Linked DNA regions of Oryzias latipes. The protein of the gene in region 3 purifies or fractionates together with the protein of the main gene of each other region. This does not show direct contact. Links are inferred from orthologs where the notes say so. Each region holds a gene or a part of one and is shown on either strand. Other genes may lie near its edges. The genes, in order: trpc1, potassium voltage-gated channel subfamily A member 1-like, caveolin-1 and vcp.

Region 1 (4,596 bases), on a different chromosome or scaffold from region 3:
TTATTTCCAAATGTAAATTAAAAAAAATGTCTGCAATTCTATTTGTCCTTCATAACTCTTGTGTGTTGTTGTGGTTTGCGTCTGCGTCAGTCATAACTGGGACGGTCATTACTGCCATGATGAAGGGAGGGAGCATGTATGCCACTGTCTCCATCATCAACGTGTACAAAGAGGGCAACCTTGCGATCCAGCAAGCAGGGAAGACCATGAGCACCAAGATCATCATCCTGTGCAAAAAGTGTCCATTTATAAGGAGAGGTGAGTCTGCCTGAGCAGGTAAACCTTTACGGCTTATTAAGATATGCAAAAGAGTGGTTATCATCTGGTTGACTGTTTTGAATAATGGCTCTGAGTTTGCCTCCTTTACTGTGTCGTCACGCCCAACCGAATACCCGGATTGCTAGGTGAGCGGCAGAACTCACTGCTGGAACAGTCAATGAAAATCTATAGGATGCATTTATACATTAACAGATGCCAACCAGGCGCAATTTCTCACGTTCTGCCTCCCTGAATGTCTCTGCTGTTCCGCCACTGCATTCAGGTTTGTTTTGTGTGACCTCACCAGGCTTAAACTACATCTTCATGGGCCAGGTTGACGAGGAGGGCCGCGGGAAAATTGCCCCCCAGCACTTTGTTATGGCTTTCAAGACAAAGAACCAGAAAGGACTCAATGTCCTGAAAAACAAGCAGTGCTGAGCTCCTGTAGCTGTGAGGATCCCCTCCGAGGTGGTCTGCCCGGAGCGCAGCTGGAAATGGAAACAATCCGGCGGAAAACAAATCCCCGTCTCAGCAGCACAAACACAAGCCAGGATAAACAAAACCAAGTCTGTGTGTGGAGCTGCTACAGACACGCACCATTTCTTCTCTTTAAAAGAGTTTTTGTTTTCAATTTACTAATAATCTGGGACTATTCAGATGAAATGTTTGTTTAAAAATCCATTTTTTTCTACATTTTTCACAGTGTAAGCAGAAGGAAAAACAACTCAATATTATGATTTTACTTTTTTTTAATTGTTTTAATTTAAAGAGTAATGCTAAGCATGATGTCTGTCCCCAGATTAACACATCAGATTAAAATCCATTTGAGATTATTGCAGTTGTTGAATGGAGTAAAACCTGCTGTTGAAATCCAGTGTTCATTTTTCAATGGGCCGGGTTGGAAGTCTAAAATGTGGTGATTACAGTGCAATATTTCCTGTTTTTCTTTAAATCATTTCTCAGATTTTATGTAAACATTTATTTCTTCAATGGTTGCAAAAATGAACAACACACTTGTTTTAAAGGAAAAACATATTTTCATATAAAAAAGGTTATATATATTATTTATATTTGTTTTTCTTGGACAGAATTAAATTCTTTGAACATTTTCCTGTTTGTGTCACTGTTTAACTATGTTCATCCAGAAGTGGAAATTGCTTTGAATAAATGGGATTCTTCATGGTTGCCCTTAGCGAAAAGCAGTCTATTTAAGTGTACTACAAGTATACTTATTCTGTATTAAAAGTGAGGCAGTATAATTGCTTTTTCTATATATTGTAAATTTAAAATGTCAAAACATTAAGTCTGAGGAAGTATTCAGTTATTAATATACTTCCTACACCACATGTACATGCTCTACACCAGGGGTCTGTAACCTTTAACACTTAAAGAGCCATTCGGGTTGATTTCTCATTGACCACAACACAGTAGTAGCCACAAAATTAAATCAGTTCTAATTTAGTGACAATGTATTTTTTTAACCACAAGGATCACTCAAAATCATTGAATTTGTTCAATATGTTGAACCACTTGATGGATTGGAGCATTATGTGTAATGTAGTCGGTAGCCTGGTGGAGTATCACACATTGTTTTTCAACTTTTTGTGAATAAAGTTTGAGTTAGTTAACTTTACTTATTTTACTTTCTACTTATTACTTTACAGTTACTTTTTATTTGTCTTAAACTAGAGAGCCATAATGGAGGGGGAAAGAATCATGAGGCTCTGACTGTTGCAGACTTCTGGTCTATACCATGCTGTCCTTATATTTCATGGAATAAACCTCACGTGAATAACTTTTTGCTAAGGGTGACGTGACCTGGAACATTCTTCCCAGGTTTTTAACCAATTAAACTAAAAGAAGATCAAGTATTTCCATAAATTTTTATTCATTCCGTTGAAAACAATGGCTTTATATATTTACAAAAAAGACAAAGGTCTGACTTTGGGGGCTTTGGTTGCTGATTAAAAGTTTTCTAAAGTTTGATATAGTGAAGTTCCCTATGCAACTGCACATGTTGACATCCCAGATTAACACGAAATGAAGGTAGGAGAGGGAGAAGCGAATAAATGTTGTGGTTTTAGCTCCGTGGATAGAACATGGCATACTTGGAGGTCCTGAAGCCCAGCAGGTCTCTCATCTCATTGCGAAATTTGGACAAATCTTGGCGCAGGTCGTTCAGGTTCTCCACTGTGGCCTGGTCTGTGCTCTGCATCTTCTGCCTTGTGGAGGTCAGGTATCGGTGAACCAGGCAGCACATGATCTTCTGGTAGTTCTCATCCCGCTTTTGCTTCAGGTTCTTCCACTCCTGGAGGTAAACAACAGGAAGGAGGTAGGTCACATAAAAGACAGAAAGCAGAAAAGACCGGGGATCTTATTTTTCTCACTTTGAGGCTATTCTGTCTCTTCATTTTGCCCTTTGGAGTGTGAGAGCAGATCCACTTCCTCAAACTGGTCACCAGGTAGCAGACAGTCTTTGGTGAAGGGAGGATGTTGAAAGGTGGAGGCATAGTACACTTGTCATCAAAGTAGCTCAGCCAGAGTTTAGCTCGAGCAAACTTCCACTCCTTGTCCTCGTGATTCTACAAAAAGCACCAAAAAGTCAAGAAATGTGGCAACAAAAAGTAATCTTTATTTAAATCTAATTTCCAGCAGTTCTTTAACGTCAAAGAAAAGCTTTAGCAGCTGTGCAACATTTCAGGAACACTTGGAACAAAAAAAAACTCCACCAGTTCCTGCTCTGAACTCGGCTTTAATTACTCATGAAGAGAAACGTCAGACTAGTGATCCGTGCAGACTTACAGCAATTTGTCTGAAGCTCTTATGGAGCATGGCCACCAGCAGCTTGGTGAGTACAATAACCACCACGATGTTGTAGGTGCCTATGATCAAGGCACCAACAAAAGACCTCAGCTCCTCTGTGTAGCTGATTCGGGTGACGAAGAGGGCAACGTGGGCCAGCGAGAAGATGTACCAGAAGAGGGCGTAGCAGGTCCCCATAAACCTGGAAAACAGGTAAACGAGGGTTTTGGTGAACACACACACAAAAAAAAGTAGAATTCTGGTTTTATAAAAAAGAAGGGGTTTTCAAAGCAAAATAGATTTCCTCCAATCCAACAGAAAAATTGCTGCAGGTACTCCCCTAAGCTTAATTAATAAACGAGCAGCTGCAATCCTGCAGTAATGTGCAGTTTTTTAGAAGAATATTAGCTTTGTTTGCAGGGTAGGCATTCACTGCAGAGGCTGCTGAAACTCCTCCTAGCTTTCCTCCACTTCCTTTACAGAAAACATTTCATCTAAACATAAGTGATGATAAAAATGTTCTGCCTAAATGTAAACATCAACAAAAAGAACGCATCCTTCAGAGCATTTTCCATATGTTTAAAGACATTTAAATAGTCACTGTATTCATTTGTGCAACACATCTGTTCTCTACAGGTTGTAATACATTTTTAGTTTCTCAAAAAAGACAATACTCTGCTAAACTGTATTTTTTTCATATGTTTGCTTTATTCCTGTTTCTTTTTAAAACACACTTTAATTGTGTTTAAATTTGAATTTTGATACAGATTAGGAGTAAAAACAAGAAACATGTCTGTCATCAGTTAAGAAACATTCTGGACATTGACCACTGATGCAGAAAGGTTTGATCATACGTGTGGAATGCGTCGTTGCTCTGTTGCTGGCAGAAGATGCCTTCGCAGTCCTTGGTTGTTTTCTTTTGTGGGTCTTTTAGGTCTTTTCCGTACAGCTGAGTGAGTCCAATGGTGAAGGAGAATAGGACCAGCAGGAAAAGGCCCAGAAACTTTCCAAAATCCTGCAGCATCTGACCCATGGAGATCTGTAAGGCATTGACAAAGAATCTGACATTTGCCCACTGAACCTTTATAGAAGTATTTACAGTAGTAATTTACAGTAGTGTCCTGTTTTTACCGATTGTAGATTATTTCTACATTCAAGCTACCTCAGCATTGTTTCTCTCACAGCAAAGTGGAAAAACCCCCAACATATTCTGGCTGCATTAGACCTAAAGTTAAGAAGTTTTCTTGAAAAAGCCTTATGGACTATTAAGAAAAAAACACTTTTTATAGATCTGAGCAAACAAATGCTCGAACACGAAGCCTGCCCTTACAAAACATAAACAGACAGTGTCTAGTGCAGCTGCTCTGCCCGCACCTCAGGGCGAAGGACAACTGGCATGTTTGCACTGAAACCAAGGCAGCTTGTTTAAGAAGGATCGGCCTGTTAGGATGATTCCAAACAGAGTAAATCCCTTCAGTGTACTCCTTTACCGCTGGTAAATAGCTAGCTGAGGTTGTTCCATGCTTGCCAACCCTG
Region 2 (6,369 bases), on a different chromosome or scaffold from region 3:
TTTGCATCAATGAGCAGAAATCAGACAAAATATTGAAAATAGATCGAACTGTAATCATTTTTATTCCTCAAATAAAACATGAATAGCTTTAGTAAAAATTTGTTTTCAACTATTTGAACATTTAAAAAATAAAAAGACTAAAAAGAGAAAAGATCAATTTAACGTTTGGATCATAGAAAACTTTCATAAATAAGTGAAGGAAAAACGTTTTTCCCACCAAGAATGTGACTGAAATGTGTCTTTTTAAAATGATCGTTTTTCTGTTTCAGGAGGTTGTGACGTAGATCAGGTCGGACTTGTTCCGGACGAGTCCGACTTGAACCGAGTCTGAAGCTGAGAACGCAGCTCTCAGCTGCCATAAACATGCGCGCACGCTTGACACTGACCTGATGTGTGCGCGCCTCCTCCGTGCACGTGCTCCCCGCTCCTGTCGTACTTCCACTCAGTTTGTCAGAAAAGTTCGATTTGAAAGTTTCAAACAGGAAAAGGAAAATCCGTGAAAAAAGATCCTCTGTTTTCGTCTGAAGTCTGTGCGCGTGAGCGTGAGACCCACTCGAGGTTCATGTTCAGATTCCGTTAATCCTCTGCGTGTCCAGAAATGATCCCATATCCTGACGGCTGCGCGCGCGCCTCACTCCCGTTTCCCACTAGCTCACGCGCAAGTTTTTTCCTTAATCGAGCACGCGCGGACAGTTGAGGTTGAGGGTTGAGACCTTTGAGCCTGTGCAGCCCGGGGGAGGGGGGTGAGGCTGGGGGGCGGTTCTGCGGGCTCGGGCGGGTCCGGGTCTACAGGTCTGTCTCGCGCGTGTCCAGGCAGAAGGCGTACAGGGACTTCTTGAAGTCCACGCTGCTGTTCGCCTTCATGTTCTTCTCCCCCCCGTCGCCCCCCTCGTTCTTCTCCGCGTCCTGGGACTTGGCGGAGGCCCGGCTGCCCCGGCGCCGCGGCTCGGGGCTGGCGCGGCCGCTTGCGGGCTCGTCCTTCAGGGAGGACTGGTCCTGGTCGGTCTCGCGGTGGTAGAAGTAGTTGAAGTTGGACACGATGACCGGAACCGGCAGCGCGATGGTCAGAACCCCCGCGATGGCGCACAGCGAGCCCACGATCTTCCCCCCGACCGTCACCGGCCGCATGTCCCCGTAGCCCACCGTCGTCATGGTAACCACGGCCCACCAGAAGGCGTCGGGGATGCTGGAGAAGTGGGACTCGGGCTCGTCCGCCTCGGCGAAGTACACGGCGCTGGAGAAGAGGATGACTCCGATGAAGAGGAAGAAGATGAGCAGCCCCAGTTCGCGCATGCTGGCTTTCAGAGTCTGGCCCAGGATCTGCAGCCCCTTGGAGTGGCGGGACAGCTTGAAGATCCGGAAGACCCGGACCAGGCGGATGACCCTCAGGATGGCCAGAGACATGGCCTGCTGGCCGTTCTGGTGCTCCTGGCCCTGCTGCTCCGCCAGCTCCGTGCCCACCGTGATGAAGTAAGGCATGATGGACATGATGTCGATGATGTTCATGATGGTCTTGGAGAACTCCGACTTGCTGGGACACGCGAAGAAGCGCACGAACAGCTCGAAGGTGAACCAGATGACGCAGGTGGTCTCGACGATGAAGAACGGGTCCGAGAAGGTGAGGGAGGGCCGCGGCGCCGTGCCGTTGTCCGGCCGGACGCTCACGGCCAGCTCGCGCTCGTCCCGGAACTCCGGCAGCGTCTCCAGGCAGAAGGTGATGATGGAAATGGTGATGACGATCACGGACACGATGGCGATGCCCCGCGCCGGACTCGAACTCTCCGGGTACTCGAAGATGAGCCAGACCTGCTTCTGGAACTCGTTCTGGGGCAGCGGCTTCTCCTCCTCCTTGATGAAGCCCTCGTCCTCGCGGAACCGCTCCATGGCCTCTTCTCCCAGCTGGTAGAACCGGATCTCGTCGGCGAACACGTCGATGGACACGTTGACGGGTCTGCGGATCTTCCCCCCGGACTGATAAAAGTACAGAATCCCGTCGAAACTGGGCCGGTTCCGGTCGAAGAAGTACTCGTTCCGGAGCGGGTCGAAGTACTTGATCCTCTTGGCCGGGTCTCCCAGCAGCGTTTCCGGGAACTGGTTCAGAGTGCCCAGCTGGGTTTCGTACCTCAGCCCGGCGATGTTGATGAGCACCCGCTCGTTGCTCTCCGCGTCCACGTCCATGTCCAGCAGGTCCTCGTCGAACAGGTGGGGGCTGTGGTCCGCGCGTAAAAGCGCATCCATGGCGTTCTCGCTGCAGCTCAGCGTGGTGTTCATGTCGTTGATCTTCCAGGGGCTCAGCTGCTGCCGGGGGCTCCCGCGGGTGTTCAGCTCCTTCCCGCGCTCCTCTCCCAGCGCCGTTTGGACGAAGCCCGGTTGAGGGACCTCCAGCGCGTGCCGGCAGTTCTCCTCGGCATTCCCGCCGCCGCCTTTGGCGCCGCCGTTTTCAAAGCTCACCAAGGCGATCTCCATGCCGCTGCCATCCACGGTCACTGAAGCAGAAGCTGAGGGGGCGCGTGGAGCCCGAACATCCCGCAGGTTTGAGTCCGGATACAGGGGGGGGGGGGGGGGGGGGGGCTGTGCGCGCGGAGCTGAGCTCTGGATCACGGCTGCTCCGCGCGCGGGGGCATGCGTGGAACGCCGCCGCTCCGGAGCGCCGCAGCTGGGAGAGATGTCAACATCCAGACCGCGGGAAGAGACGCAGACCCGGATTAGAGAGCAGCCGCGATGATCACTCCTGACGTCAGGAGTGAGGCTCGCGCGCTCAGCCGCCGCGGAAAACCGAAACACGTCTGAGAGGAGAGAGAGATGCGCTCCCTCCCTCTCTCCAGCAGCGGAGACGCGCTCCGTTTGTGGCACAAAGCGCGCGCACGGCGGTTGCATTTCTGTGCTGTCAGTCAGCATTCAGAGACACCCCCCCCCTCCAAAAACACAGGGACGTGAACTCTTCTAAGGAACATTTGTGCAAATATCTCCATGCGGAACCAATATGTTCTCTGGGTTCTCCAGGGAACCCTTCACACCCACCGGTCTCAGAGGTCGAGTCCTCTGATCTGTTTTCAGAGCGTTCCCAGTTCCCTTTTCATCCTCTGACGTTTTAGTTCTGTTTTCTAGGACATAGTTTCTGCAGAGCGGCAGGAGTCTCTGATTTGTGGGCGGGGATTATGTGGGAGATTGATGAAGACTCTGGACTCCAGCTCTTCTTCACGCTTTGAATGTCCTTTTCAAAGAATGCCCCCCCCCCCCCTCTCTCCTTGTCTCTCCCAAAGCCGTCCTCCCACGTGACCAGCTCCTCGCCTTCTCTGCCTTTGTGTCCGAGTCCTCTCCTGTGGGGGGGGGGGGGGCGGCCCCCGGGCGGCACTCTGTCCTTTGAAGGAGCCTTTTCTCCAGGATCTTCTTTGTTCCTTTCAGCCGCGCTGGTCAAAGACCCTGAAGGAAACACGACTCTCCTCGTGCTTCTGTGACGTCATCGAGCCATCACACACCGCTGGAAACAAACTGTCAGCTTTTGGTGATGAAAAAAACAAACAAACAATCAAGTTGAGGTTTCAGATGATGAACGCTGAAAGTTTCCAGTCGTCACTGATGCTCCTCAGCTTGGAGCTGGCGGCGTTTCCACCTCCAAGCTCATGACGTCACATTCCTCCAGAATTCCTGTGGTTTTTGTGGACCAAACGAGCAGAGACTCGTCCCATGACAATGCTCCAGAAACTCCAAACGTTTGCAGTTCTGCTCGGCCTACGCCGTTCTGGACTAAGTGACGTCATCCATGAAGCTCCAACCAGCTCCAACCAGAGGGGGTCGATTCAGTCACCATTTCTGCACGACACGGACGTGATTCAGACAAAAATGGCAACTGAATTGACTTTCTTGATCCAAATGGGTCAGAGTCATTGTTTCTATGACAACCACTCTCACCAATCAGGAGGGAGCTTCTTAGAAGGCCACACCCCCACCGCTTGAAAGCGGCTACAAACTCTGAGTAAATCAGTAAAAGCGGATTTTCTGTGGCGACCCCTGAAGGGGGACAGCGGCGATACGATACGTATCCAGATATTTTATTGGAAAACTTTTTTTTTTAGGAGTATGACTTAAAAAACTGTACCTGGATATTAATGTGTCTTTCATCGTAATAATACGATCTAATGCAGTCTATTTAATGATTACAATGTTTAGCACTGCAACTGTATCACATACAGTGGTGGACAAAATAGTTGGTACCCCTCAGTTAAAGAAAGGAAGTCCACAATGTTCACTGAAATGACTTGAAAGGTTCAAAGGGAACAATAAATTAATATGTATTGAAAATTGAAAAATCAGAATCAACCATTACTTTTGAGTTTTTGATGAACAGAATTATTTAAAAAAAACAAACTAATGAAATAGGGCTGGACAAAAATGATGGTAACCATAACTTCATATTTTGTTGCACAACCTTTTGAGACAATCACTGCAACTAAACGGTTTCTGTATTTGTCAATGAGCCTTCTGCACCTGTCCACAGGTATTCTGGCCCCCTCCTCATGAGCAAACTGCTCCAGTTGTCTCAGGTTTGACGGTTCTCCAAATAGCATGTTTCAGCTCCTTCCACTGATGTTCAATGGGATTCAGATCTGGGCTCATAGAATCCACTTCAGAATAGTCCAACGCTTTTCTCTGAGCCATTCTTGGGGGTTTCTGGCTGTGTGTTTTGGATGGTTGTCCTGTTGGAAGACCCATGACCTGCGACTGAGACCAAGCTTTCTGACACTAGGCAGCACATTTCTACCCAGAATGCCTTGATAATCTGGAGATCTCATTTGACCTTCACAACTTCAAGACATCCTGTGGCAGATGCAGCAAAGCAGCCCCAAAACAGAACTGAGCCTCCTCCATGTTTCACAGTAGGGACAGTGTTCTTTTGGTTGGATGCTTCATTTTTGAGTCAACCAACATAGAGCTGATGTTTCTTACCAAAAAGCTCCAGTTTGGTCTCATCTGTCCAAAGGACATTTTCCCAGAAGCTTTGTGGCTTGTCTACATGCATTTTTGCAAATTCTAGTCTGGCTTTTTGATGGTTTGCTTTCAACAGTGGTGTCCTCCTTGGTCGTCTCCCACAAAGTCCACTCAAACAACCACGAATGGTGCGATCTGACACTGATGTACCTTGATCTAGGAGTTCACCTTTAATGTCTTTGGAGGTTGTTCTGGGCTCTTTGGAGACAGTTCCAACTATCCGTCTCCTCAATTTGTCATCAATGTTCCTCTTCCATCGCCAAGGGAGGTTGGCTACTGTCCCGTGGGTCTTAAACTTCTGAATAATATGTGCCACTGTGCTCACAGGAACTTCAAGCTGCTTAGAGATGGTTTTATAGCCTTTACCTTTACCATGTTTGTCTATAATTGTGTTTCTAATGTCCTGGGACAATTCTCTCCATGGCTTTCTGTTGTCCATGTTCAGTCTGGTTCACACCTTTTCACTATTTGTCTCCCTTTAAATAGGCAGACAGACTGATTGTGGGTTTGAAAACAGCTGTGATGTCAATCAAAGGACATACCTGAGTTCATCATGACCCCCTGGGCTATTAGTTCAGTCTTTTATGGACGTACCATCATTTTTGTCCAGCCATATTTCACTAGTTTGTTTTTTGTGGACTTTCTTTCTTTAACTGAGGGGTACCAACAATTTTGTCCACCACTGTATAGAAGCTGCTTTTACCCCGGCAAATTCATAGTACTTTTATTTTGGTTACTTAAGATATAGAAATGGAACAGTCAACATTGTCTGATTTCCACAACAAAATATATTTCACTGTATGAATAAAAAAATTAATGAATTTATTGGTCTTAACCAATAAGGTTGTAAAAGTATGATTAAGTTAATAAAGTGTTTATTTCCAGCTATAATGTTGCTTCCCCAGTACTTAGAAACATTCCAGGAGTCTGAATGGTGCTTCAAAAATAATGAAGAAAATAAAAACACTAATTCTATCCAGTAACAATAAAGTGTGATGATGAGGCAGCATGACAGGATGAAGGAGATGCTTCGTTTCCATGACCGTCTGCTCTGCAGCTGCAGCTCCACTTTCCACTTTCATACATGTAAGTAAACACGGACTTTACCGCTCATCGCCACAACGATGGCCTTTTTCTAGAGCGTTGTTCACATCACTCTGATCCACCAGAACTACAATCTATTGCTGGGAGGTTCTGCAGAACTTTGGCCTGCTTTGCATCAGCCTATTAGCCGCTATGCAGCTGCAGAGCTTCACTGGTTCTGATCTGAGCTACAAAGAACCACAATCCGTGTTTTCATGCGATTCTGGCAGCAACATGGCTCAGAGTTACAGTTCAGTTCCCATCCCAAGTAAAAACTAAGTAGTTCATGTCTCATGA
Region 3 (6,457 bases):
GCATAATGAGGAAATCCTCTAGGTTACCCGAGGACACCAACTTCCCGTGCAGTAAACACCATAATGGGTTTGTATGCAGTTCTGCAGATGAAGCTTTTTACAACTCTGTTAATAATGACTTCAAAAAAACAATCTTTTTCAATCTAGCTCCCACTTTGCCCAAAATGTTGGATCATTTGACTGAAACAGACTTCTAAAAGTCCCTGAAGCTTTTCCTGCAGACCTCGGATCCATTCTGGATTGCACTCAGCAGCACATTTATCCCATCAGCAGCTGATTCTCAGTATGAACCTCTGGTGACTATTGGGAGGCCTGATATGAAACAATGCAGTCTTGGGGTCGACATGTGACCAGTTGGCAAAGCAACCGTAATATTGAGTAAATAGGGCCAAGTGCTATTTCCAGAGTTTTATCTTCAGGCTGTCAGACATGCTTGACAAGACAGAAGAGTGCGGTGCATCAACAGACTTCTGCTGGAGTTTCGGGGGAAGAGAGTCTGCGGTTTGGTTACAGATACGAATTAACATGACCGGCATTGAAAACATTGGTCAATATGCAAAATTGGATTTTTTTTCATGTGTCCACTCCCCTTTCTTATCCCTTGTGCTATCTTAGATGACCCCCCCCCTTACATTGACGTGTTCTCCCTACCATGACAAAGGTGGATAAAGGTGGAAAGATTTCATGTAATCCATGGACACCAGTGAAGATCACAAATCATTGAAGAAAAAAGGTTCAGAGCACTGTCTAGTGGGTCTAGATGGTAAATGGTAAATGGCGTATACTTATATAGCGCTTTCTACCTTCTTACGAAGGCCCAAAGCGCTTTACAGTCACAGTCCCATTCACCCATGCACACACACATTCACACACATTCACCCACTGATGGCGGCTCCGCTGCCAAACACTGGCACCAACCTCCCACCAGAGGCAAGGTGGGGTTCAGTGTCTTGCCCAAGGACACTTCGACACATGGGCGTGCAAGGCGGGAATCGAACCTGCAATCTTATGTTCATGGGTCGACCGCCCTACTGTGCACCACGGCCGCCCCAGATGATGACCCAACTCCCAATATTAACGTGCCTAGGATAGCACAAGGGTTAAACTAAATGGCATCCATGTGAATGATTCTCCAAGGAAAGGGAAGTTTGAAGCTAAAAAGTGAAGTTTATACCAAACACTATGAATAAACGATGTTCATCCTCTTTAGTTTGTCCTCGGTACACCTGAGTCTGCTGCTGGAACTCAAGCTTCTCCACGCAGCTTCAAAAACGTCCTGTGCAGGCATTTGACCTCCACTCTCTGCACATAAAAAAGGCCCACAACATAAGGAAGGGAAAGAATAAAAAAGGCTCTGAGAGGGAATATCCATTGTTTCATGTGGCCAGATGATTAAGGCCAGCTGTGGTTGCAGCTGCAAGAGAGCCGTGGGTTTTCTCACATGTATGAGTCAAAGCATCCATGCACTCAGGATGTGTGCTGCTTGTCATATGTGTGTGGAGCTGTGTGACGGCGTGGCTGATTACACAGTGGATGACCGCAGAAGGGATTCCCTGTTCGGACTGGATTTAGCTCTTTCATACCAACCAGCTGCTTCCATCAACGGAAAAGACACGACTGCTCTACTTATAGACCCACTCTGATCTGTGCCATCTATCCAGCCGTGCAGTTTTGAGCCAAATATCAGCTCAAACCAGAAAAAACAAACCATTAATGGATCTGTTTACAAGTGGATGCATCAGAATGGAGCAAAGCGGGGAGCTTGTGGCACACCCAGCATATTTTCTATGCAACCAATGCGATCTTTTTCAGAGTTTTTTCTATGCTCCTGAATCACAACAATTTCAGTAAAGACACACTCAGAAATGGCGTTTTTGAGTTTCATTTTCTTTATATAAGTCCTCCATCATCAGAAAATTACCACAAGAACATGTTAAAAACAACAAAAACACCATTTTCAATGGAGTGGGTCTTAAACGTAGCACAGATTTAAGAATAGCTTAAACCTTTTCAGAAGTTATCATGGAAACTGGAATTCATTACACAAGTTTCTTGTTTACAGTCCATGACCATGTGATGAAAACTAACTTTGAGGGCGGTCAGTTGACTTGATCATAAAGCCTCAATCTGCCCTGACCGCAGGGAGAGTCTGACTCACCGTCACAACTGAGAGCAGGAGGATGCAGAGCGGTGAAGAAGAGACAGAAACAGGAAATCTTAAGCGCTTTGCCAAGTCTGTGCAGTGTAATAAGAAAGGATGTGTTGGTCATTATTGAATTCACTCACTTCTGCATTTAGTGCCCACTTTGTCTCATGCTAGTGACTGGGTGTTTCCAAGGGGCAACATTTGTACGTTACACTGCAGATAATGTTCCCGTGGAGTGAAATATCAGCTGAATCTGATAAAATCGAATCATTTTGTGGAGGAATTCCAGAAATAACATGAGAGGAAGAACTGTTTATGAGTTTGGCGGTTGGTTTAGCGATTCATACATGTCTTCAGATTTAAATCCTCTGGCTGGAATGCTGACAGGTGAAAGGGGGGAGATCAGAACACTGGGAGTGGTGAGGGATCCCCCTCTGACTAAGCAGCTACTTGGGTGTTTCCCTGTTTTAACAGCGCAGTTCAGGCATTTCAGAGGCCTGACCCATCCTTCTCATGCAGGGGGCTGTTTGACCCCGCTCTGATGTGAAAGCCCGCCTCAGCTGGAGTGGAGAGTGACAGACAGCTGACGCTCCCCTCCAGTATCATAGCGCCTCAGGTGGCTTCCAGCTCTCCCTCTCATAACCTCTGTGCGCATGTCCCTTATGGAAAGAATTCAGGGTTTCAAGGCAACCACTGTGGGAAACGTGAGTCCCAAAAACAGGAAATTCGTACTGTTTCCTTTGTTCCGATGGTCACGTTTTTAATCCGTGCGTGCAGATGGGCTGTGCAGCCTGCGCAAAGCACAACTCCATCTGCAAAGTTCCTTCCTAATAGGGGGAAAGAAAGTAAGAGGCCGCTCTGGAGAGGCAGCGCGCAGCAGCGTCTGAGCCCCGGGAGCGCACGATGACGCACAGGCGCAGAAAACACCAAACCAGATTTTAACACTTGGACAGTTTTTGATCACATTCTTGGACTTTAAAAGCAAAAAGTGGCCGAAATGTCTGTGACACAGGAGTCTCTCAACTGTTATTTTTTGTTGTCACAAAAAGTCTTGAAAGATTCTGCAGCTGCAACTTTAAAAGTAACTTGAAAAGTTCGAAATTAGCAGGTCTGACTCACCTTGACAACGTCGTCGTTTATTTGTTTAGGGTCCCGGTTGACTAGATCTATCTCTTTGGTGTGGACATCATCCATCGTCTTCTCGTTTACGCTGTCGTTGTCCATGTCTTTGTTGTTTGGCTTGTATATGTTCCCCTGCTTTCGGATGAAGGGCGACTGCAGAAACTCCTGTGGAGATCCGAGGGAGGCAAACAAGTGAGGAAGAGGAGGAGGTGGTGGAGGCGGAGTGGTGCGCAGCGCGCCGAGAGGGAGCGAGACTGCAGTGCAAGTCACCGGCCTGCCTCGAGAACAGGGATGGGTTTAAGCGCACTGAACACGCAGCACCACACCCCTGCACTCAGCCGCAAGGGGTCCTCACCACCCACACAGTGCTCCTGTCCTGACCTATCATACAGTTGGCTCCACATGGATGTGGACGCATGGCAACGCTTCAAAACATTTTCTGTGAAAAAGCAACAGTGTTTCATCTCACCATCCAAGCAGAATATCATCTACTAATCTTTTTTTTTTTTTTTTTTTTTTTTTACCAGAGGTGACATTTGTAAAATATGAATATTCATACATGCAAGTATATGTTGTAAAAGTGAATCCTCTCAAAGCTTTTATGATTTTGATCATTTGTGGAAAAATGAGGTTGAAAATCCAACTTTTAAACGCTTTTAAAGTCTCTTCCTGGATGAAGCAGAGCAATCTGACGCGTAAAGCTCAGGATTTGGTTGCGTTAATTGGCTTTTTCCTAAAGCGCAGCGCTTGCCACAGCAGGAAACTAAAAATACTAGAATAACTAGTTTAACAGAATAAAACAACAACAAGCAAATATCAAAAAGGGGAAATAATTTAATTTAAAAGGGGAGAGCCATACTGTACCTCGTCAGCGTCTCCGTCAGTGCGCTCCCCTGTCATTCTGTCCTCAGGAGCAAATGGGGTCCTCCGTCCAAACACAGATCACTCTGGGAAGCGAAGTGGGAGGCGTGAGCGCGGACTACCGCGCGCCTGATGATGAAATCAACCCTGAGCTGCCTTGGCGCCGAGTGAGACAAAACTGCGGAAAGTCTGAGCGCGCAGGGGAAAGCTCCGCTGCGTCTGCACAGCCACCTGCGTGTGCGCGCTCGGCACAACAGCCGCTTGGGCTGCAGAGAAGGACGTGATCTCACACCAAAGGGCTGCTGTGACACGCACGGAAAAAACCCTGCTTCGTTCAGGAATGAAGGCAGAATAAGACGGCACTTGTTCAGAGGGAGGAGGGTGAGATGGGATTACTGAATGTCGAAGTGGGAAAACCTGCCATACCTGAGTCCCAAACCGATCGATTGTTCCAAGAGAAAAGAAAACAAACAAGCAAACAGATCAAGAGGGGGAAAATGCAGAATTAGTAATAACATTTGAGAGCAGGTGTCAATGCTTTTCCTTTTCTTGTCAGCTTCAAGTAAAGCACCCGGCATCCCTGATAGTTTCCTCTCACCTCTTCTTGGCAGCAGCTCACTCATCAGTGGAACAGAAGCAATGTATGGATTTTATGGAATGGTCTTTTTCTTCTACGTGTTACCCTTTTTTGATAGGCTTCTTGTGCACAATAATTAGTCAGGGTGAAATGCGGAGCACTTATTTCATTACAAGTAGCTGTAGTGTACCTTTAAGATGATCTTTTCTGTTTCTAAAAAAATATGTTATCTTCTGTAAGCAGACTGATATCTGCATAATTATTGATACCTGTGGCAGAATTTGGCTTGGGGCCTTACTGCTGGGTTGTTCTGTGTGACTGGGATTCCTTTGCTCCACCCCTAAACTCTACTGTCAGTGCCCATGAGGGTAACAGCCGCAGCAGGTCTACTCCTTTAATGTGCTATCCTAGGTACGTTACCATTGGGATTTGGGTCATCTAGACCCACTAGACAGTGCTCTGAACCTTTTTTCTTCAATGATTTGTGATCTTCACTGGTGTCCATGGATTACATGAAATCTTTCCACCTTTATCCACCTTTGTCATGGTAGGGAGAACAGGTCAATGTAAGGGTGGGGTCATCTAAGATAGCACAAGGGTTAATTTGCCCTGATACCTGTAACAATGCTACAGTCTCACTATGGAGTGGAACTTAGAGACCAACTCCAATAAACAGTGTATTTTTTGGTGTTGTTTTGTGGCATTTTTCTGATGATGGAGGACAAATAAAACTAATATTGAAATTGCATCACTGAGTATTTCTTAATTCAAATAACTGTGAATAAGGGACACAGAATAAAAATTGCAGTTTAAAAAAAGAGCATATTTGTTACATAGAAAATACGTTGGGCGGGCCACAAACATGCTCTGCTCCATTCTGATGCATCCAATTGTACCCATTCCAACCCTTTGAGCCTGTAGACGTACGTCTTTGTTTTCCTGGTCTGAGCTGGAGTCTGGATCTAAACTGTATGAATGGATAGCTCCAGTATTGCTCACCATTTTTGTTGCATCGATGATGTTAGGTCGGGGGTGTCATGGATGGATGACGGGAAATTAGGCAGAAATGCGCCACACCAACAGTCCAGCCCACAGCTCAGAGTTGAATTTTTAATGAACTTATGCCGCTCTGTAGAAACTTATGGAAGTGATTCTGTAGAATAATTAAAAATAAAAGTCAGAACCAGAAATGCTTTTTCATTTTCAAAATGAAGCTGCATTTTTGACTCAAAATGAAAATAAAAAAGCAATCCACCAAAATGTTTTTTCTTTCCATCTTCAACACAACTTATTCTGTGTCAGAATAAAAACGAAAATGCAAAGAGGGGATTGCATTTTCATTTTAGCATCCACCCTGCAAACATTGTCGCATTATTCATTTCGAAAGAGCATTTCCAGAGGGGAGACGGGGCGATGACATCAGTGCTAAATCCGTGTGTCCGGCTGCTAACAGACACATGCTAGGAGCAGTGGAGCTCATTTAGAAGATAGTCTCCTGCAGCTTCACGCTGATTTTGCTGTTCAATGACAGCTGGAGTCCCATCAACAGCTATAGCAGATTTCACCATGCTAAACGTTTGCTGGTTGGACCAACACACACTCAGCTTCACGCTGAGTGTGTGTTGGTCCAACCATCTATCTTCTAAATGTGCTTTTATTGTTATGATTATTATTAAGGGCCTGCTCACTCAATTTTTTTAAATCCGTTCGGTCAGTGCTTTTTTCTTCGCTGGAGGACCCGAAAGACGAGT
Region 4 (5,006 bases), on a different chromosome or scaffold from region 3:
GGTCTTTCTTATCTGGACCTTTACCTCATGCACTGGCCCATGGCTTTTCAGTGAGTGGTATTTAGGAGAACGTGCCCCGCAAAACAGATGCATTTTATCACAAACACTATGCTGACGTTTCAGGAAAGGGAAAGAGCTGATGCCCCGAAGAAACGATGGAACCATCTGCTACTCTAACACGCACTACAGAGATACTTGGAAAGCCATGGAGAACCTGGTGGATAAAGGTCTTGTGAAGGCTATAGGATTGTCCAACTTCAATGCTAGGCAAATGGAGGAAATCATCCGTGTAGCAAAACACAAACCTGTGGTGAACCAGGTTGAACTATTTCTACATCTTTAATTAAATTACAATTCATTACAAAATGAGAACCTGAGAATTAAAGTCTTACATTACAGGTAGAATGCCACCCTTATCTGTCTCAAGCAGACCTTCTGTCACACTGTCAGTAAGTGAGACACAGAAGATCTTAACTTTTCTTCTAAGACTATTCAAAACTCTTCATAAACCGCACTCTTTTCTTCTGTTTTCAGGTCTTTGGCAATTTGTGTGACGGCCTACAGTCCTCTGGGGAGTGGAGACAGACCCTGGGCATCTCCAGATGAACCCAGTCTACTGGAGGATCCTAAACTGGGGGTAATCGCTCAAAGATACCAGAAATCACCTGCTCAGGTGATCCTCAGGTATGACCAACCATCTTTACAACTCACATACGCCTTCAGATCCAACAGAAAACTAAAACGTAATCATCTCACACCTTAGGTGGCACATTCAGAGGGGCGTGGCATGCATCCCCAAAAGTGTTACGCTCTCCAGAATCCAGCAGAACCTGAACGTGTTTGATTTCAACTTGTCGCAAGAGGACATGAAGCTGATCAATTCTTTCAGCTGCAAGAGGCGTTTCATCGTTCCGACAGCAGTGGTGAGAACTCAATGTATGAACCTATGTGCTCTCCCCCACTCTTAATGGGGGGGGGGGGGGGAATTCAAGTCACTTAATGGTCAAATGAAGTATTGCACCACAACTCTATTGGGTAAAGCTCCAATTACTGTAGGCAAAAAAGCTCAGGCTGTGAATTTACTAAGGGCCTGGTTAGAAATTTAGGATGTATGGAGAAATGTTAGTTCAGATCATGAAGTTATTGGGAATTCTAGAAAGAAAGAAAAAAAACAGATACCCAAAAAAAGTGTAAACCATGTATACCATTTTTTAAATGAATTGTTTTTTCTTGCAATTTGCATTTTCTGACCAAAACATTTCCAACTCTTTTACAGAAGGATGGCAAGACAGTGTGGAGAGATGCAGAACATCCACATTTCCCTTTCCACGACGCCTACTGAGTCTACACTCAAGACCAACTAACTTGTTGGGAATAAATGCCAACAAGGACACACTTTAGGAGTGACACTGTTGACTGACAGAACTGCTTTCCAGTCAATACATTTTCATTTTTTCCTTTAGCAGCATTAAAACACTGAAGCTTAAACGAGACCTTCTGTAGTTAAGTGGAAAAAATAAAAACTCTTGCCAACACCCATCTTTTGCATCATTAGCTAGGATTGTGTACAGTTTGCATGCAAAGATGTGGGTTTAAATAAAAATAATTAGGGGGTTAGATGCCATAAGGAATCTTTGCCCTTAAAGAGGAAACACAAAAAACAAAATATTTCAATTTCTTCAGATTTTATTTTCAACAACATAACCTTGACAAATCTGTAATACATTATATGCTACTGTTTATTTTAAAAAAGAAAGGAGAAATATCAGCAATGTGTTTTTTTTGTCTTTCCAAGTCTCGCACATATTCCAATCAGCATAGCCATTTGTGTTGAGAAATACAGAGAATGAGGCCACTCAAAAAAAAAAAAAAGAAAAAAAAAAGAAACCCAGTCACCCAGCCACCCCACTGAGAAGAAACTCTGCGTCTGACTCACCTTATATTTCCAAAATCCCCAACTCAGAATGAAGTCAGGGTAAGCCAATAAGCTACATGCTTTCTCAATATGGGGGGGGGGAGAATAAAAAAAAAAAAAAACATGAAAGAAGCACAAAGTCCTAAAAATGTGGAATCTGGTGAGAATTTGTACAGGTGTGATCCCAGTACTGGCCACTGAGGGGCAGTCTGCTTTTATCCGTAAAGATCATCATCATTATCTTCATTGAACACCGGACCAGTTCCCGCTCCGCCTGCACCATGACTTGGACCACTTCCTCCAGGAGTACTAGAGGGAAACCTGAAAGGCAAGAAAACTTATTACCTACTTTTGTGAAACCCAACAATTTTCTAATATTGTAAACAGATAATACAATCCTTCTGAGGCCATTGTCGTATTAGGATGCCCCCCTAAACAAAATGCAGCTTTGGCTGCTGTTGACTTATTTGCTCATTAGAAGTACTTCAGCATCTTCCACATTGGAAAAACATTCCAATTTCACAGCTACAGACCTGAAGCTTCCAAATCCACGGCTCTGCTGCAGTGTCTGAGCAAACATCTCATATTTGCGAATATCATTGTCACTGACAGAACGGCGAGCAAATCTCATTGCTTCTTCAAAGTGGTCTTTCCTGATTTCTGGAACAGGATCGTCCTCTTCAACTTCCTGTGAGGGCATGACGGCACAAAAAAACAGGATGGAAATGGTTAGGTCCACAAAGAATCCCAAGCAGTGCAGATGTTCATTCCAGGATAAGCAGCATTTGAACAGTCCTGACCATAGCAGATGGGTTGGTCTGCCTTTCCCTCTCTCTGCGGATCTCACTCTCAATGCTCTCTCTGATGGCCAGTTTGCACGCCCGCTGGCAGATCTCGGTAAGATCTGCTCCAGAGAAGCCGTTGGTCATCTTAGCCAGGAAGTCCAAGTCCACATCCTAAATTTTGTAAAACTATTAGTTTATTTTTTCCAAGTGGAGAGAACATTTGTGCAATAATACCAAAGTTGCTTTTACATTGGATTTGAAAACAAATGCCACAGTTGGTGGACCTTCAGAAAAATCTACACAACTTTTGTTACACAGATAAAGCTTCATACATCCTGGTGGTGGGAGGAACAACTGTCACCTTGCTGATGGGACTCTTGCGGAGGTTGGCCTTCAGGATGCTGATCCTGCTCTTCTCATCGGGCAAGGGGATGTAGATGAGCTGATCGAGGCGGCCGGGTCTCAGAATGGCAGGGTCAATGATGTCTGGTCTGTTTGTGGCTCCGATGATGAAGACATTCTTCTTGCTCGACATTCCATCCATTTCCGTCAGGATCTGGTTGATCACGCGGTCAGCTGCTCCACCGCCATCACCAACGTTGCCGCCACGAGCCTTAGCTATGGAGTCAAGCTCGTCAAAGAAGAGAACACATGGAGCAGCCTGACGAGCCTGGAGACAAGACAAAAACCAAACAGGTTTATTTCGTTTTACAACTTTATGTATGAATTCTTTAAAAAAAAAAAAAAAGGGGGGGGGGGGGTCGCTTACCTTGTCAAATATCTCCCTGACGTTGGCCTCAGACTCTCCAAACCACATGGTGAGCAGCTCAGGTCCTTTGATGGAGATGAAGTTTGCCTGGCATTCGTTGGCAATTGCTTTGGCCAGCAGAGTCTTACCACAACCAGGGGGACCATAGAAAAGTACACCTTTGGAAGGGGTCATGCCAAACTTCAGGAACTTGTCTGGATGCTCCACTGGGTACTGAATTAAGGGAAGGAGGATGCACATTTACCACAGTCCCAGACATTTCAATCCCGGCACTTTCATATGATGTTACACATACCTGGACCAACTCCTGCAGCTCTCTCTTAACATCTTCCAGACCTCCAATATCATCCCAGGTGATGTTGGGAACTTCAACAATCGTCTCCCTCAGTGCTGATGGGTTACTCTGGCTCAGAGCCCACTGCAAGACAGCACTGATCGGGTTAGCATTGATCCAGCCCAGTGCTAGCTGTGTGTACTAATGGACTACTATATGATTTCAAACGATTCCATTACAGGTTTACCTTGAAGTCATCCATGGTAACAGCAAGTGAGTTCATGACTTCAGCATCGATGGTCTCGTCCTCAAGGTCGATCAGGTCCATCTTCTTTCTAATGGCCTGGAGAGCAGCCTCAGAGCAGAGAGCAGCCAGATCTGCACCTACATGACCATGGGTCTCATTGGCAACCTGCAAAAGACAATCAAATTCACTGTAGAAACCAAAGTTACACCACTATGTAAAAAAAACCTGCGATAATGATTAATTACATTTTAACTTAAAATATTCACAAACTAATAGAAAAAAGAAATTTATCATTTATCAAGAAAAAGGCATCTACTTGAACATGTTGTATTTTGGACAAAAATAAAGGACTTTTGAAGGCACAAACCTGTTCCAAGTCCACATCATCAGCCAGTTTCATGTTCTTGGTGTGAATCTGCAGAATCTCCAATCTGCCGGTTGCATCAGGGATGCCAATATCCACTTCTCTGTCAAAACGGCCTACAATGGAAAGGTGTGAAAATAAAATTGGATCAATGAAAATGAAGAAGTTTACCATCTATCTAAAAACCTAAAATTTATAAGATCATCAACTTAAAAACTTCTAACTTAATTCATTAAATTTGTTGAATTTCTTTACCAGGCAAAACATTGACCTCCATTTTAAAAATTGGAATTCTCTTTTTTTTCTTTAAATCAGAATATGAAAAGTTATTTAATTGAAAATTTATAAATTTGAATTGAATCAAAATATATTTATTTGAATTGAAATAGACTTTTTCATCCTTACTGGGATGACAATAGTTTCTAAAGTGCCAGCAAGAAATTTTGTTTCAACATGTTAGCAGCTTAACTTGCAATGCATTTTCAAACAAAATGAACAAGCCACAGGATTTCTTAAGAAAACCTGGTTTGGAAAAACAATTTGTTTCATTAACAAGAAAAAGTTTCTTATTAAAATGAAACTTAAAAAAACCCAAACATTTAGGAATAGAGTGCAACTTAAATTCTATGGTTGAAAGTAGGTCTGATGTTCA

What was found.
Region 1: the proteins of caveolin-1 (region 3) and trpc1 purify together in Homo sapiens (affinity purification with western blotting; 3 studies listed by BioGRID and IntAct, with this or other methods). This does not show direct contact. The link is inferred for Oryzias latipes from reciprocal best matches to the Homo sapiens genes CAV1 and TRPC1.
Region 2: the proteins of caveolin-1 (region 3) and potassium voltage-gated channel subfamily A member 1-like purify together in Homo sapiens (affinity purification with western blotting, with the first as the bait; 3 studies listed by BioGRID). This does not show direct contact. The link is inferred for Oryzias latipes from reciprocal best matches to the Homo sapiens genes CAV1 and KCNA5.
Region 4: the proteins of caveolin-1 (region 3) and vcp purify together in Homo sapiens (affinity purification with mass spectrometry; 5 studies listed by BioGRID and IntAct, with this or other methods). This does not show direct contact. The link is inferred for Oryzias latipes from reciprocal best matches to the Homo sapiens genes CAV1 and VCP.

What each region holds. Positions count from the first base shown.
Region 1 is NC_019878.2:19,045,468-19,050,063, reverse strand, and holds the end of trpc1 (short transient receptor potential channel 1), read right to left. Parts: intron 4,100-4,596; coding exon 3,915-4,099; intron 3,263-3,914; coding exon 3,061-3,262; intron 2,841-3,060; coding exon 2,646-2,840; intron 2,567-2,645; coding exon 2,339-2,566; 3' UTR 2,128-2,338; downstream 1-2,127. Other genes in the region: pcolce2 (procollagen C-endopeptidase enhancer 2), read left to right, coding at 91-258, 566-696. UniProt on the Homo sapiens protein: Forms a receptor-activated non-selective calcium permeant cation channel. Forms a heteromeric ion channel with TRPC4 or TRPC5 that has reduced calcium permeability compared to the homomeric TRPC4 or TRPC5 channel.
Region 2 is NC_019881.2:23,510,517-23,516,885, reverse strand, and holds the start of potassium voltage-gated channel subfamily A member 1-like, read right to left. Parts: upstream 3,646-6,369; 5' UTR 2,899-3,645; coding exon 787-2,898; 3' UTR 387-786; intron 1-386. UniProt on the Homo sapiens protein: Voltage-gated potassium channel that mediates transmembrane potassium transport in excitable membranes. Forms tetrameric potassium-selective channels through which potassium ions pass in accordance with their electrochemical gradient.
Region 3 is NC_019864.2:2,997,099-3,003,555, reverse strand, and holds the start of caveolin-1, read right to left. Parts: upstream 4,397-6,457; 5' UTR 4,169-4,396; coding exon 4,133-4,168; intron 3,434-4,132; coding exon 3,266-3,433; intron 1-3,265. UniProt on the Homo sapiens protein: May act as a scaffolding protein within caveolar membranes. Forms a stable heterooligomeric complex with CAV2 that targets to lipid rafts and drives caveolae formation. Mediates the recruitment of CAVIN proteins (CAVIN1/2/3/4) to the caveolae.
Region 4 is NC_019867.2:13,582,180-13,587,185, reverse strand, and holds the end of vcp (transitional endoplasmic reticulum ATPase), read right to left. Parts: intron 4,471-5,006; coding exon 4,358-4,470; intron 4,156-4,357; coding exon 3,991-4,155; intron 3,888-3,990; coding exon 3,765-3,887; intron 3,683-3,764; coding exon 3,470-3,682; intron 3,371-3,469; coding exon 3,062-3,370; intron 2,872-3,061; coding exon 2,716-2,871; intron 2,604-2,715; coding exon 2,449-2,603; intron 2,237-2,448; coding exon 2,131-2,236; 3' UTR 1,669-2,130; downstream 1-1,668. Other genes in the region: alcohol dehydrogenase [NADP(+)] A-like, read left to right, coding at 1-50, 124-319, 400-449, 535-684, 764-923, 1,277-1,342. UniProt on the Homo sapiens protein: Necessary for the fragmentation of Golgi stacks during mitosis and for their reassembly after mitosis. Involved in the formation of the transitional endoplasmic reticulum (tER).